Linked DNA regions of Alligator mississippiensis. The protein of the gene in region 1 interacts with the protein of each later gene in a biochemical or structural test. Links are inferred from orthologs where the notes say so. Each region holds a gene or a part of one and is shown in the gene's direction. Other genes may lie near its edges.

Region 1 (3,751 bases):
GGAAGTTTTAGGTTAGACAAACATTTGTCTGTGATAATTCATACAGGGGCTAGACTAGATTATTCCATGAGGTCTCTTTCAGCCCTATTTTTGTCTGAATCTATAACTGTACAACAGTAATTCTGAGAAGGAGGGGAAGGGAGCCGCTGCCAGTTTTCCCTCCTTATCTAGCCTGGGCTGTCTGTGTAATGACAATCTTCAAATGTGGAGGAGCAGAACAGAGGTAGGGCCTATGTGTGATAAGGAAAAAAAAGTGAACAGCTGTGGGGATAAGAAGCAATGCAGATCTTGTGTTGCGTATTTCATTGTTAGCCTGGGGATGCGATGGGGCCAATTATCGGACATGGAATTTCAGCAGAGACTTTAAACTCTCTACACAATCGGACAGCTCTTTATACACATCTCAGTAATTTGATCTCAGTTGGATCTATCAGGCAGAGTTCCTGCAGTGGAGGCCAGAATTGCATCACTCTAATTTTTAAGTTAGCAGCACTGAAAATGTTCTGTGAACTGGGGGTGACCAGTAGAAGATCACAGATGAGAAGACAGATCAAAAATCATGATATAATCATCTTTGAAAAATTTGGGCATTTGGGGCCAAAAGCAGGATAGATAGAGGTGTGACTCATATTTTTTTTTAACCTTTGAATGAGAGTAATACTGTTTTCCTACTCTAGTTGTTTCTTTTAAAAATTAAATCACTTTTGCTCAAAAAGAAAATGGAGAATGATTCTAAAAATAGCGTGTACAAAATTGCCATCTGGATTTACTCTACAATATGTAAGAGGCGATTCCAGCCCTTCATTTATACAAAATCCAAGTGAACGTGTATATTCTTTCCACTTTCTACATTTATTTATTCATTCTTTCATTTTCTCTTCCAGCATCTGCTTACTCTCTATTTATTTTCTATGTATATTAAAAATGAGGAGCCATTTAGATACTCCTTTATTAAATGCACTAGATCCTTAATTAGCAAAATTAAAATATTGCAAAAATGTGGATCCATCTCTTTTGGAAATTGTATGCTTTTAATGCTTTCAGAATAACTTTGGTGTTTTTAAAACACTTCCTCATTGTTACCAAGTTGCTAGCCCTTTAAAAATTATCCCACAGGCCCTATCACCTGTACCTGGTTTCCTTCCAGCTCATGTAGAAACAGGTTACACTAAAGCTTACTGCAAACAGAGATGCCACCTAATAGAAAAGGTAAGTTTTAAATGAACATGGGGAGAACTCAGAGTGAGTTAAAGTAAGATAAAGATAGTCTGGGTGATCTTAAGGGGTGTAATGTAATGGAAGTTAGAAGTTGCAAGTTAGTTCTAGAAAGAAGAAAGTTTGCCTTCACCTTCTTTTGTGGTCTGTGGAGGCCTAACAGATGCTAAAGCTGATTAGAAATATTTTTTTCAATGAAGAATTTTTATGATACTGGAGGAAAAAAGTTTAAACAAAATAACGTATTATAAAAACTGAAATATTTTAATCAATCATCAAAATATATTAAGTGAAATATTTTAATCATCAAAATATAACCAAAGAATGACTATATTTTGATGTAGAAATGTAGTCTCATGCAGTTTGTTTGCATTCCCCTGTATTGGTGGAGATTTCTATTTCTATTTTGTCTATCACATTTGCTGTCAATAATACCTTTACAATGCTTTGGTTTTTAATTTGCCCTCAAGTGCATGTATAAGTGTAACTGAATAATTTGGATTGTGGGATTTTTAATTTTTGTTGTGAAAAATTAGAAGAGGGAAAATGGTACTTGGGTTATCATTTACCATTTTATAATTCTGAAGTTGGGGGTTAGAAGAAAAGTCTTCCTACCTTATTATTAAAAGTCTTAATTATGCTTATGCCTATGGGTGAATCAAGAATATTCCCAACCATGCCAGGTGGTATGCAAATGCATAGTACCATCTACTGATAGGTCCTTCCCCAAACAGTTTGAAACCTAAAGGGACAAGACAAGAGGGTGGGGGTGAGGAGCAGAGTATTGAGACCAAAAATATTGGGCTTATTACATAATGGAGGAAAAGCTTGTTTGGAAAGGAATCAGAAGAAGGGAGATGGGATCAGTGGCAGACCTAAACAGAGGCTTCATCCCCTAGGATATTTCTGTGGCATCAGCAGCCAGGTGAACAAATAGCAATTTACTTTACTGAGAATCAGGGTAAATTAGCCCAGGTGGATCTCCATGCAACCACACCTGATCTACTTCCAGTACCTCAGCTAATCTGGATATACCTACACTACTCAACAGTTTGCAGTATAAGACATAGCAGGAGTGATACTGAAGGATATCGAAGGGCACTTATGCTGTGTCTACATCTTTTCCACAAGGAGACTGGAAATAGTCTCAGAAAATAAGGCAATGTGGCTAGCTGCCTTCGACTGCACACCCAGAGCTGATTTTAGGGTCTCTGTCACAGTTTTGCTTACTGATGCAAACTTGAGCACTCTAATGTGTCTATGTAACATCATTTCTGAGATGAGACATGCCTGGGAGGAACTGAGTGGGTGAGTTGTGCTTCACACCAGTGCTCCTGGTGCAACAGAAGGCACAGTAAGTAAGCCCTTGGAGGTGCATGTTCAGTCACTGTGTAGCATGGGATTGTGCTTCAAAATCCATTTAGTTAATCTAAATCAGGAGCAAATAAATGTTCTGTGTACTCCAGGAGCTCTGGACACACAGCAAAGTTGCAATTACACTAAAACAAATAAATACCCAAATGGAGTACTTGTTTAAAACAATAGGAAGTAAAGGTCAGGATTTTACAATTTTGGATTTTGAGCTGTTGCAGTAAGTCATTGGAAGAAGGATTTTGAAAACTTCATTGTTAAATTATTCTAGGTTACAGAAAGTAGGTCTTGGCTGGTTCCAAAAGCTGCAGCAGGATCTATATGGATCCTACCAGTCCTTGCTGATCTCTTGCCCCACACTCTCAAATTATATAATTTTTTCAGTGATTCCAGTTACTTCTACAGAACCCAAGACAATAGAAGCATTAAGGAAGGAAAAATCCAGATGCCTTGTTGTTGCTGTTGTTGTTGTGGACCCCCAGATTATAGTGCCCAAGTGAAGAGCGAGTTTAGTTGGTTCTAGTTCATAGGAATGCTCCAGGTTCTTATGCAGCAGATGAGGGTTGCAAAGTCGTTCCATTATTTGTCCCTGTTTTTAAGGGCATAAATATATAATAACCTGCTTCACAGAAATTTAGCCCTGGAAGGGAGATCATTGGGTCCAGCCCCCTTACTCTGGGCAGGAAAGACTGCTGGATGGTGCCTAGATGCAGCTGGATTTGGGGAATTCTGGACTCAAATCAAAATTATACACCCTTAGACACACACACCCACTCACATCCCACCCACCCACATACTCTTTCTCTTTCTTAAATTAAACAGATGCACACACTTCTAAATTGGAGACACCACACCCTTACCCATACAGACTCTTAAATTACACACACACACTCGCTCTTAGATTGCACAACCCCTACCCACATGTGCACACACTTTTTCTTAAATTGTACACATGCTCTCTTAAATTGCACACCCCCACATGGACTTTCTTAAATTACACACTCCTTAAGTTACACCCCCAGCTTACCATAACAGCCCCTGTTTATAACAACGCCTTACTGTTAACAGTTCCAACAGGAGGAACTGATTTTCCATTATGATCCAGCAATTTGACTAACTCTGTGACAGCAAGCCTCCTCATGTAATTGACTTGTGGTCCTAGTGC
Region 2 (3,751 bases), on another chromosome or scaffold:
CCCTTGTTAAATGAGGTATTTTACAGCACTTTAGCAACCTACAGTGCTTTAAATAAATTATATATGCTGGTCAAATTTCTGAGCAGTGGAGAAGCCCCAGGAGGCTGCAGAGCACTCCCTGACTCCTAGCCCAGAAAGTGCAGGGAGGCTCAGACCTCCCCCGCAAACACTGCACTTCTATCCTGGTGAAGAGCACTGTAACTGTACAGTGCTGTGAAAAATGTTCTGAATTATAGTCCTGTAAAATGTCCATGGAGCACTTCTGTACACACCCTAAGGTGTGGGGACAATCCCGGGGTTAAGATGTTCTAGGAGCAGCCCAAAATTACTGTACGGCAAGCCCTTATTCACGTTTTTGGTCCCCCCAGGGCTTTGGCTGCCACGGCCAGGGGGCCGGGGTGACCTGCCCAGCACCGCCACCCGGCATTTTGCGGGAAGGAATCCGCCAGACGCTTCTGCAGCAGAGGAATCGTCCCCCTTTGTGCTGGGCACGAGGGGATGACAGGAGCCTGAAGTAAGGGAGGAGGCAGAGCAGAGATGCATCTTCATAGCCTGAATGAGGGGGAGAGAGGGAGAGCGGGGGAAGCCCAGCTCCCTCCCTCAGATGCTGGCAAAGGAGGGCACAAAGTGCCAAGTGTGGGGCGCGACTGGCACACCGGGAGGGCGAGGAGGAAGCCAAAAGCCCCCTCTCCATCAGAGAGGAGGGTTTCCTCCGCCCGCAGCAACCTCTGCCAAACAAAACATGACATCATCCTGCACAGGGCTCCTGCAGCCCCCGCCCGGCACCTCCACCCCCAATACGTCACCCCCTCGCGCTGCGCCCCCCGCCCGCCCGGCGCCAAGCTCCGAGGGAGGCGGGGGGAAGAGAACCTCACGGAAGCTCCGGGCAAAGGGCGGAGTAAGGGCAGCGGCTTCATCTGAGCTTCACGTTCCCACTAGGCATGCGCGGAGCCTTCGCACATGCCCGCCAGGGGGTTGGCGCAGGCGCAGAAAAGAGATGAGGACTCGGTGAGGCAGGGCAGTTTCTGCTATGACACCTGCAGCATGTGCCAGGAGCTGCAGCAGCAGCAGCAGCAGCAGCAGGCGCGGTGCATCCTCCTCGCTCCAGTGTGGTAAGCGGTGGCGGCAGCAGCTCCCTCTCTCTGCGTCCCTGCTGCCTTGCACTGTATTTCAGCGGGTGCATGGTGACCTTACAGAGTGTGCATTACCTCACAGGTAAATATCAGCTGATCCGCTGTGACAGCAGGAGCAGGAGCAGGAGCAGGCAGCAGCAGCAACCCACAGAGCCTTTCTGGAGGTAGCAGTTCATTCATTCCTTCACTCATCTTGTCCCTCACCTCTACTTTCTCCCCCACCTCCCTTTATTCACTCCCCCCCCACCGCCCCCATGCAAAAGCCAAAGGGCTGCAGAGGATGCTGAAGCCTCCATTAAGGACTCTTCCCACCACTGCAAAGACTCTGAGGAGTATTTAGTACTGGGGGGGGGGGGGGGGATGAATATTCCTGAGCCAGAGGCGGCTGCTAGTGTTGCAATGCACTGCGGTTTCAGTGGAAATGGCTAAGGGGAAGGATGCGCTGAGGGGCGGGAAGGGAGGGAGCTTCAGCCTGTTGCCTACTTTTAAATCTAGCTAAATAGACACCGGTGCGGCTCCCCTGGGTACGGTGCTTGGTCGCTAGGCATGCGATTTTCCTGGCTGCGAATACCCAAGCTGGTCTTGGTCCTGCTATGGAGATGGAGGGAGAGATGCTGATGCTGGATTCTTTGGGAAAGAGGGAAACAAGGGTCATAACTCAATGCCTGCTGCTGAGTATCCCTGTGGCAAGAGCTCTCTTTCCTACAATGGCTGGTGACTATTGGGCATCAGGTATTTCATTAGGAAATACCACCAAGGTATGCATTCATGTGGAGAAAGGGAGTACACATATGTGTGTGTGTGTGTGTGTGTGTGTGTGTATGTGTATGGTGCGAGGAAGCTTAGGAAAACTGTCATAGGCCTAAGACATAATGTTTTTTGACTTCTGCTGTACTTCAGTTTTTCAGTAGTTGTTGTCTTTTTTTTTCCAGTAGTAAAAGTGCACATTGCCTACCACTGGCCTTTATACCTACTGGCTGTTCTGTTTATGACCCTGGTCATTGTACTGTATTTGTGTATGGGGGCACATACAATGGATTTTAGTGGAGGAATGAAAAGGGAAAAGAATCAAGCTCAGATGCGTAACAATCAAACACTTCAAAGAGCAGGTCCTGATTTCCCTTTCGCCCCTGAATTTAACAGTGTGCAGTCTCTTATTTCTTAACAAATATGTCAGGGAACACTGTTGTAGGTATCCTATGAAATATAGTTGTATAAGCTAATGCTTGATAAATAAATTATTGTAAAATATATGATCATATATAATCCTTGTATGTATAATTATTTACCTACTTGCTAACTTACTAACTTCAGTCATTTACAGTAAACATCCTAGTTACTACAGATTGACTAGTTCCTAACATTGTGGGATATCTTTTATGCCATGGAATAATTATTAAATGCTAAAATTAAATGGTGCTAGAGGTATTGTGGTCAGATGAACCTCATAAATATGCGTTGGGATCCATCTGTCAGCATTTACAATGTTTTCAGTACTGTTTAAAGCCCTAATGTGAATAAATGCCACTTAATAAATCCTGATAAATATCAGTGACCTAAGAGGTCTTCAAATGAGTTTTGTGAAGTAAAAAGTGCTGAAGCAATATTGTAAGCTTGTTATTTCTCATCTTTAAATCCTGTCGCAAGCTTGAAGTTATGTAACTTACTCTTCTTTTTTACCTTTATTTCTCACTTTATTGTTGTCAGTGTGGGAAATGATGTCATCATCATGGGGAAAAAAAGGCAGAGATTTTCACTTTTAATCCTATCTTTGCTGTGGAATCCAACAGCAGTTTCCCAGACTTTCAATTTAATGTCAGGATGTAGCACTTGTATCACCAGCAGTGGTGGGCATATGTACTAGCAGGTTTTTGTCATACTTGGAGCACCCAATACACTATTCATGAAAGAGTGGTATAGAGTGCTGTGTACTTGTACTTACTGTTGCTTTATTGACAGAGAATGTATGAGCGTGTGTTAAAAGCCACCTTCACAACTAGTTTGACTTTTCAGTACCCCTTAAAAGATAACAGCTCCACTGACAGTTCTTGGAGATTGCTCTTACTCCTACTGAAGTCAATGGCTAAATTCCCTGTTTAGGCAATATCAAATACATTGCCTTAAATGTATGAAATACGTTATAAGTGTGTGGGTGTGTGGTTGCCTGAGTATCTACTTTGTTTTTAAAATGTTTGATATATCAAGAGGTAGAATTTAATATTAAACAACTGAAGACCAAACCTAATCCCCTCCACTAAAATATCATGCATAAATTACAAATGTTGTGTCCTGAACACTTAAAGTGTTCACTTACAGTTTTAACCAGTGAACTTATAGTTCACTTATAGTTTTAACCAGAATATGTTGTTATAATTCTGCAATGGCAAGAGTAAATACAAAATTGTCCCCCAACCACAACTGAGCATATAAATAAAAAAATTAATATTGTGTATGTGGCTGCTTAGTTGTGTTCATGTGTAATAATTTCCATGAACAATTTCTGTGCATTATTGTTTGTATAAACCAATGGTAGCCTGCAGAAAACGATGCATCCTCAAACATACTGGCATCTCCTGTTACTTATTACTGTGTCAAGCCCTGATCCTGAATTTAGCTGA

What was found. The genes of interacting proteins can lie anywhere in the genome.
Region 2: the proteins of DMD (region 1) and DTNA form a complex in vitro, tested with the Homo sapiens proteins (3 studies listed by BioGRID and IntAct, with this or other methods). The link is inferred for Alligator mississippiensis from reciprocal best matches to the Homo sapiens genes DMD and DTNA.

The regions. Positions count from the first base shown.
Region 1 is NC_081824.1:308,598,060-308,601,810, forward strand, and holds the start of DMD (dystrophin), read left to right. Parts: upstream 1-1,132; 5' UTR 1,133-1,190; coding exon 1,191-1,209; intron 1,210-2,275; exon of another isoform or gene 2,276-2,569; intron 2,570-3,751. UniProt on the Homo sapiens protein: Anchors the extracellular matrix to the cytoskeleton via F-actin. Ligand for dystroglycan.
Region 2 is NC_081826.1:79,295,700-79,299,450, reverse strand, and holds the start of DTNA (dystrobrevin alpha), read left to right. Parts: upstream 1-1,023; 5' UTR 1,024-1,030; coding exon 1,031-1,112; intron 1,113-1,211; exon of another isoform or gene 1,212-1,215; coding exon 1,216-1,297; intron 1,298-3,751. UniProt on the Homo sapiens protein: May be involved in the formation and stability of synapses as well as being involved in the clustering of nicotinic acetylcholine receptors.